Arabidopsis thaliana: one gene and its partner. The protein of the gene in region 1 interacts with the protein of each later gene in a pairwise test. Each region holds a gene or a part of one and is shown on either strand. Other genes may lie near its edges.

Region 1 (4,624 bases):
ACACATCAATGATCACGCAGGATGCTTTTCTCTCTACTCTCTCTTACTATTTATAATCTTCTTCACACGTGACTCCAATCTCTCACTTCAGTTCTCACACGTGCCAACTTCTCATGAACGTATCAGAGTGGCGCAGAAGCTGATCAATTTATCAAGCATGATGATGAGAGTTCCGAGTACCATGGACTTTTGAAGAATTATATCTACTTCGATGATAATGATGGAGAATATTGTAATGATGGAATGAATGATGAAGCTGTTAAGATGTTCAAGCTTGGTGATGGTAGTATCATCGATAGTACTGAGTTTTCTTCTCATAGTTGTTTTCACATGTTCTTTCCTCCGTTCCTCTAAAAACGATTAATTATCTTAAATCTGAATCTTGTTTTATTTATTGCTTATAGTTACGTGTTGTGTTGTGTGCATGATCTTGTAAATGTTTGCAAATCCATAAACGACAAACATTGAATATAGAATAATTTAATCCAAATTTGAAACTGGAACATCATCTATAAGAAACTTGATTAAAAAAACTTTTATGTCATGAGTTATTTTTTCTTGAATCTAATTTAACATTTTTCTTTTTTTGAAGTTGTCGTGAGTTGTTACATAGGACTAGGATGCAGCAGGAACTTGATCTACAAAAATATCACACAGGCCATTTAGTTCCAATTATGTCCCAAGTAACTAGATCAACAAGTTTGTAAATTTTATGAACTTCAAAATTAAAAGTGTTACATTCAAAGAAATACTTTCTTAGTATCATGACCTCTTTTCTCTAAGAAAGCTTAGCAAAAGTTACTAATTACATAAACTCCTAAATGTTGACCAAAGTGAGTACTAAGATAAGTAGACACGGAGCTTGATACTCTTATCGCAGCTCCATCTCATGCTTCTAAGGTCTGGAGAAGGAAAAACAAACAACCATTAAAATTGTCAAACGAAATCAGAGTTTTTTATTCATCAGAACAAGAAAACACAAATGTACAACAAACCACACTCAATGACTCTTCCTTGAGTCAAAACAAACAAACAAACAATTCAACTAGTAAATAAAAGTGGTAGCATTACCATAACTTAGACCGCAACAAGTAGATGTGTTAATACCGTATAGTTAAGGTTCCGAACCAAGAAAACCCATTTGATCAACCATGTCATGTAGATCTTGGCTGTCCCAATCCAAAGGCGAACCAACCAAATCTTCCACTTTCACATCCAACGCTGCTTCCAAATTACCATCTCTCATCATCACATTCATAGCCTCCAAACATTGTTCCTCCTTAGTAGGCATCGAATTATTCGCCTCATCATCGATTGCTGCAGCGAACAACATTTCCATATCATCCTTCATTCTATCAAACTCTTGATCATGTAACAAATTCTCCTCCATAGTCCCCAAGCTTGGAGTAGAAGTAAGCCTCCGTTTCCTCCCCACATCCAAACCAAACAAACTCTTCTTCTCTTTACTCATAACCGCAAACTGCTGAACAAAGTTCGGATTGTTCAACGCCTTGGCAAGGAACGTCATCATCTGCTGCTGTCTCTTCTCAGTAACAAGCAACCGTTGCTCCATAGCTGCAACTTGACTCTTGGAGCTGTGTTGCTGTTGCCTCAACCTAACTACCTCAGCTACAAGCACACCATGATCCCTCTTCAACCTCTCAACCTCCCCGTCGAAACCGTATTGCCCAACCTCAACACATGACATCCCAGATCCTTGCTGATTCACATTCTGCAAACCCATGTTCCTCCTTCTTTTGATGTTCTTCAAGAGATGCTTTTGTCCTGCTAAAAACCCTTCATTTGCAAATTCCCATCTATCTGGATCAATCTTTCTGAATCCCTGCAATCACCAAAACAAGTTTCATCAGCTACTGAACTTGAGGCAGAGTCCTTACTTATCATTCCAAGATTCTGTTTTTACTACCAAACACATTTTGAACTTCAGAAACAGAGGATTGAACAGAGTTTATGTTAAATGATTCTCTTAACATATGACCAAAATCTCAATGCATCTAATTTCAATTTAGCCACTTAAAAGCTTAAAGAACTAACCTTTATAGCTGAAGACTCATAGGAAACCCATCTAAAGAAATCCAAAATTAAAAATTAGAAACAAAAACAGAAACAAGACTAAGTAGATATAAGGAAGCAAAGAGGTACTTACATAAGTATTGAGCTGACGAATAAAACTTGAGAAATTGCTATGCTTGAAGTAACGTGGAAGGAGAGTTGTTGAGAACTTATGAGAATCCCACACCACAAAGCTGTTACGACCATTACTCCAAGAAACCACCGTGTCCGTCGCCGGATCTTCCACCATTTCGTAAGTCTTAGTCAGAAACGGTGGTGGCCCTGTTTCGTTAAGCCCTTCCATTGGTCTAGGAGAGGAAGAGGATCCTACAGATGAAGAAGCCGCTACAGAACCAGTAAACGTCACCGTTTCTTCCTCCATTTCCACTTTCAGTTCTTCCATTTTCGTTGTTTATCTCAAATCCATAAGCTCAGAGATAAGCTAGATTGTATGAATTTCGTAACTTTCGAGAAACAAAAGTAGATATTTTTGATTTTGTTGCTAAAATTAGAAACTGGGTTTTGGGTAAAGTTTGCGACTTTCTTCAGAAAATGTTGAGTTTTGAGTTGAGAGATTGAGGCGTGGAGGAGAGAGAAATGAAATTATAAGGGGAGAGAAGAGAAGGTTCTAGAGACAAGACAAGATCATTTCACTGTATTGAAGCTTCTTTGACATTTATGTGAGCACGTGGCGACAAGACAAGACAATGTTCCAGAAACTTCGTTACTAATCTAGAATCTCTTTTTTTATATATATATCATATGGGCCTTTACTTAAGCCCATTTCTAACGATGCCAATTTATGTTCTAGGTCCTTCTTTTTAATGTGGGCCGCCAGAAAAAGCCTACTAAAATGAATTATTGGGTATGTCCAAGGGTATTTATGTACTTAAGAGGCGACCTACATATCTCGTGCGTGTCTCCACCTGCTGCACAATTTTTCTCTCACCCGATAACCAAACAGGTCTCTCACGTGTAATTTAGTGTTTTTAAGACTTTAGGGAATAAGATTAGAACGGTTCTTCCCCAAACACAACGAAGAAGTCTTTTGTTTCCGATATAGATCGAGGAACTTCGATTTATCAGACATTAACACCAATTTTTAAGATATCGTGAAGGAGAGATTTGATTGATGGCTTGGAGGCGCATCATCACCAAGGTTTTTGTTTCATTTTTCTCTTTTCCCCTTTATCCAATTTTTAATACGAAAAAGGTTTCGACTTTGGTTTGATACTGTAGTGGATTTGATCTAATTAGATAATAATTTCTGATGGGTTTTATCAAGATCTTTGTGATTCATAAGCTAAAGATGATATTTTTCAAACCCTAGAAGCTCAAATTCTTCTCTGCCCTCAAAATGTTGTCTTTTAGGATTCTAGATTGTCTCTGTGATATTGTCATTTGATTTATTTGACTACCCAAGTCACCTAATTTTGAAATTGGTATAAAAAGTTTCAATTTTTTTGATTCAAAATGGGTAAAAGTATTCACTTTTATCAAAATGTTTTCATGTGTTGTCTAGTGTCATTTTGAGTTTGGGATTAGTAATTAACTTCATCTGTATTGATTCTCTTCACCGATGACAGGTTTCGAGTCATGAAAGGGAATTGAGCAGTTTAAGAAGCTTACTTGTTAGAGCTTACTCCTCTTTTCCTAGAGTGGGAGTTACTGGAGGTAAATTCTGATTCCGTTTATGAGTTGTTCTTGTTGTTTTAGAAGTGTTTTTGATGTAAATTGGTTTTATTTTATCTATAGCTGTGGGTGGTGGTGGAGCTTCTTTACCGCGAACGAGGTTTCAATCGAGTTATGTTGGTAGCTTTGCTCGCAGAGTCCGTGATAGAGAAGAAGTTAATGAGGTTGCACATCTGAGAGAACTTATTCGAAGAAATGATCCTGAGGCTGTTATCAGAATGTTTGAAAGCCAACCTTCTTTGCATGCGAATGCCTCTGCGTTATCGGAATACATTAAGGCATTGGTTAAAGTTGATAGGCTCGATCAAAGTGAGCTGGTTCGAACATTGCAAAGAGGTGGGTAAGGAGGGAGAGACTGTTTGTTTGAATCTGAATGGATACTTGGATTGTGTCCTTGCTTTCATATTTGTATTAGCAGCTTCTGAGCCATTTCTCTATATAATATTGGGAAATGTTTTGCTGTTTTTCTTTTAGGTATTGCTGGTGTTGCAAGGGAGGAAGAGACTTTTGGAGGTCTTGGGGCATTTAGAAACGTAGGAAAACCAACAAAAGATGGTGTCCTTGGAACTGCTAGTGCACCGATCCATACGATATCCACAGAAAGGACTCACTTTAAAGAACAGCTATGGAGTACAATCCGAACTATTGGAGTTGGTTTTTTACTCATTTCTGGTATTGGAGCTCTTATCGAGGACAGAGGAATTGGCAAAGGTAGAGTTTGGTTGTGTTTTCTTCAGTGATCCAATAGCTGTATTGAATGACTTTGTGCTCATTAATTTATGCTTAATACATGTTAGGACTTGGTTTGCACGAAGAAGTGCAACCTAGTATGGATTCGAGCACCAAATTTTCTGATGTA
Region 2 (4,476 bases), on another chromosome or scaffold:
AAGACACTAAATTTACTCCCCATAATTAGAGGGAGGCTGATTTGGAGAAAAAATAGTCAAAACAAAATAACAAAGCATTGATATTCGAAGATACACTTTATTTGCTCCTCCGGGGTCCTCAAGGGGCTTTGTCACAGAGAAATAAAAACCAAAGTTTTGGAGAAAAGGGGTTTTGGACCGCAAACTCATACCTCATGACAAGCATAAACCAACTCATCACCAGTTGTTTATTGATTTATTCGATAATGATAGTCTTGTGACTACTTTTCTATCTAGTGTGTTTCTTTGAAACCTTGCAATTTTCAACATTTTAAACAACTTTTGTTTTTAGTTGTAAACGCAGGCTAAACATATCCTCTTTGAAAATATATTCACATTGGGCAAAAATAGACTGTTAAAAAATTTCTACCGACCTTTTTCATGTAAACACAAATGCGAAATAATCAAAGCCTAATACAGCTATGAGATTCGATTTTGATAAATCGATCAGTCTAACTATGGCTCCTATACTTTAACCTTTTCTAAATTCAAAATCTGAAAAAATAAAACCGGAATCAAACCCAAAAATGGAACAATGAACTTGGTTTGTCTATTCCCCCTGATAAGTTGCGTTTAAGTATCGACAGTAATATGAATTATAGGAGCATAAGAAGACTTCTTAGTTCTCTCAAGACCAAAATAGAAATGCAATTCATAGGTGGAGAATAATGTAATGCACCACATCATCAATCTATTTGATGAACTTTAATAAACAACAAACTCGTTTCTTAAAACAGGAATTTTAAAAGTAATACTGCCTGCTCTTAACATATTTCATAGTTTTTCTTTTTCCTTCGGACATGTCAATGAACACCACATTCCTTTTTAAGAGGAACTAGCCGGTGTTTTGGGTTCATCGCCTGATTTGGAGGCTGGAGGAGGAGTGCCTTCTACTCCCATCTCGGCTCTTAGATCATTGATGCTTTGCTCCAGCTCATTGATTCTGCCTCCCATGTCATCAAGTGAACCATCAAATCAAAATCAAAGTCAAGGAGATCAAAACCAATGTCATGAACACAAGATTGCTGATCAAAGAGTTACCACAGATTACAAACTTGTATCAGTTCATGGTGATAAAGTTGCTTTTGTTTAGAATATATAGCGAGCAGAAGAACAAGCATGCATATAATAGCAACTTAACAAGAGAAAATACCATAGAACCATGTGCTACTACCCATAGAATAGACATTTAGACTCTCAAGAAATACTTTAATCAGAAAAATAGACAGATTCTAATGATAATTCTCAATACCTAGTACTAAACTTCTTTCCTTGAAGACACAAATAATCAATCATCATTACTGGTTCTAGGAGGGAAACATTTCATATATTCTACTTCAAGCAACACTCAAGTAAAACCACAGATTGATATAAGGATATTCTTTGTGATGATGGAGTCCGACATTGTCTGGAACCTGGTTTGCTGAAACACACAAATGTGACCAAATTTAATCAAAATCTACCTATTGAAGGTATAATTCCAAGGCCTACGAAGACATAAAAGCTGAAAAACCTACCATCTGCTGGAGAAGATTTTGGACCTGCATATAAAAATTCAAGGATTCAGTGATAAACCAAGTGAAATTGTCTCAAAGTCACAAAAATACCAAACAAAGAGAACGAGAATACTCACAAAAGCAGTCATATCAGCAGTGCTCTGCTTAGTATCCTCAGAATCATGACCATCCTGTCAGCAAAAGAAAAAAAAAACTGTAAGAAGAAACTCAAAGACACAGTAAATATAACAATCATCAGGACAAGAAATTGAAGCTTTATACTAACGAAAAAAAATTGTTACAAGGAAAGAAACAAGCATGAACTATTGCCCATTGAGAATATTTCTATCTGAACTTTCTTAGTACTACTAGCATTACACACAGCAAACTCGATACATGAACATTTCTAAGTAAGAAAAAGGACGAAAAAGTTAACTTATACTGAATCTCCCCATCAGATCCTGGACTTCACGATACTAGAGTTCTTGAAAAGCCGAATTCACAAGTTCAAAATCCACAGATGAAAACAGAAAATCGAGCAAATGCAAAATCTTATTGTAACCCAGCAAAAGATGCTCTAAATCGTCCAGATTTCACTATAAACTCAACATTTCGATAATTGATCTACAATAACAGAACAACCATAAGAATATCATGCGAGATTCCCACTAAACCGTAAAAAAACCTAATCCGAAGATATATCCTTAAATGCAATCGACAAATCCGAATAAACGAGCCTAGGTTTCGTGAACGAAAACGCAAAATCGAAAAAGCGCAATGATATTAGGAGGCGGATATTTACCATTTTTAGGGTTTTCTTGCGAGTGATCGGAAAACTGGAGAAATTTTGATTTCAGCGAAAAGCGATGAGAGACGACGGAGGAGAAGAGTGATGCGATGTTTATAAAACGAGAAGAGAAACGCTGTTACTGTTAACCCCAACCTTATAGGTATACAATGTCCAAAATGCCCCCTCTTTACTTTAGTTTCTATCGTTATGATTCGATTGGGTGGGATCATGTGTGTGTGATTCAAATTTCAAATATTTTTATGTACGTTTGGTATTGAGATCTAGATCTTAGGATGATTCAAATCATTATTGTGGATGTTCAAATCTGCAAACATTTATTTGTAATCATCTTATTTGTAAATTTGGCTTAACTTTTTGTTCCTCTTGATGATTAAAGGCAGACCAATTCGAATTGTGTTGTATAACGACTTATCTCACTAATGGCATAAACCCTGACACATTGATGACTGAAGTATGTAGATTTGGAACAGCCTATTTGTTTCTTACCATCAATAGATATATTAACGAGGTTGTTGAACACTATCATGATTTTACAAGAGAAATGAAACACATGATTTATATAATTATATGATTACAACCAAAAGACATACATAAGCATCTTATCTCCATGTGAGAGATTCTAATCCTCCACAACCCAATAGAGGAAGAAGTAACAAACCTGACCACAAGACAATCAGGAGACAAGTGAAATGTTGCTTATCCTCACACCATTGGTATTTGATATAGTTAATTTTCGTGTATTATCAATGGAATACAAAAGACACGACGATCACATCTGATATGTTACAACTTCTACAACAAGAGCAAATTCCAATTTTAAATATCTTTTCCAGAAGTGAATACGGATATCAACATAGGAACCAAACCTAAAACAGACATGGAGCCTCTCATCCTCACCAAGATCTTCCCTTCTTCTTGTACATTTCTTCTACAGTCTCGGCTTCCAATGGAAAACCCTGCGTGCACATCAGATGTATCTAGATAGATACCGAACCTTTTTGTTGCTTGGAATCCAAGTCTTCCTCTTCTGGTTCTTACACGACCAAGTACAGTTCCTTTTTCATGTTGTCTCTCCACGTCTTCTGATTCTTGATTCTCCACGAGAAGTGTTTCTTGCTCGAGACATTCTTGACTCTGTTCGTCCCATATAATTTCAGGGTAAGAATCCAGTAATTTCCTTTTCTTCTCCTCCAAATCATCATGTGAATGAGAAGTGTGCCCTGAGTTAAGTAACACATTCCACAAGGAACAGAATAGAGTGAAAGAGCTAAGCTGGGAGCCAAAGACACCGGCCTTTTCTACATCGGTATTCTGCTTTTGCAAAGAACCGGCTTTAGACCGGATCTTAACTGAGCAACATAAGATCAGCAAGTTCAATCTCCAATCCGAACATGTAGATTCGCTGCTTTTGTTTGCGGAGAAGAAGCTCATGTTGTTCTCTGCCAGAACAATTCCTAGGCATCTTGCTCTGGTCTATACAGCTTAACTCTGGAACTGCTTGTCTGATTGATTGATGCATAAGAGAAGATCTCTGAGAAATAAACTCCTTGTAGCTTAAAGAATCTACAACATCGGAAGCTGCATGAGTTAGAACCACGATAGCATTTTTCCATATTGACGAGCCCAGGGAACTGGTGATGATTTTAAGTAAACGGATGTCTGGAGTGTCATCTAGACGGTCAATATAGAGGTGATATCAACTGGGAACTTTCTCATGCTTTTCTTTATTGACATAAGGACTTCCTGATTAAACTGTTCCTCAGTTGCAGAGGACAAGAGTCCTGGCGTATCAAGTATACTTATCTGGATTCCTCCTACATTCCCAACAACATAATTTGCAGAGTTAGTGGTAACTCCAAATGCACCAACAGCAGATTTAGTCTCCCCAAAAATAGAATTAACCGTTGCACTTTTTCCCACCCCAGTTTTCCCGATAACAAGGACGTTAATGGAGAAGTCTAGATCAGCTGGAAACTCTTGTTCAGGCAGCACTATCTTTGTTCCGTCAAACATGTGATCAAGCCCTAAGGACGTTGGATGTTCTCCACCAGCTAGGCTCATCTTAGACGCAACTTTAGTAACAGTTGAATTTTCACGGCTAAGACATGTTCTTCTTATAATCCTCTGGAG

Evidence for each region. Proteins that work in one complex are often made in the same cells at the same time.
Region 2: the proteins of HSFA2 (region 1) and HSBP interact in a two-hybrid assay, tested with the Arabidopsis thaliana proteins (one study listed by BioGRID).

What each region holds. Positions count from the first base shown.
Region 1 is NC_003071.7:11,133,708-11,138,331, reverse strand, and holds HSFA2 (heat shock transcription factor A2), read right to left. Parts: upstream 2,709-4,624; 5' UTR 2,477-2,708; coding exon 2,168-2,476; intron 2,087-2,167; coding exon of another isoform or gene 2,056-2,086; intron 1,844-2,055; coding exon 1,115-1,843; 3' UTR 540-1,114; downstream 1-539. Other genes in the region: ftsh4 (FTSH protease 4), read left to right, coding at 3,206-3,232, 3,660-3,747, 3,829-4,101, 4,240-4,476, 4,563-4,624. UniProt on the Arabidopsis thaliana protein: Transcriptional activator that specifically binds DNA sequence 5'-AGAAnnTTCT-3' known as heat shock promoter elements (HSE). Seems to be involved in other environmental stress responses.
Region 2 is NC_003075.7:8,986,000-8,990,475, forward strand, and holds HSBP (heat shock factor binding protein), read right to left. Parts: upstream 2,663-4,476; 5' UTR 2,341-2,662; coding exon 2,338-2,340; intron 1,727-2,337; coding exon 1,673-1,726; intron 1,581-1,672; coding exon 1,557-1,580; intron 1,463-1,556; coding exon 1,420-1,462; intron 1,002-1,419; coding exon 865-1,001; 3' UTR 599-864; downstream 1-598. Other genes in the region: AT4G15810 (P-loop containing nucleoside triphosphate hydrolases superfamily protein), read right to left, coding at 3,163-3,814, 4,079-4,476. UniProt on the Arabidopsis thaliana protein: Negative regulator of the heat shock (HS) response. Affects negatively HSFA1B DNA-binding capacity in vitro. Involved in acquired thermotolerance but not basal thermotolerance. Crucial for seed development, after fertilization and during embryogenesis.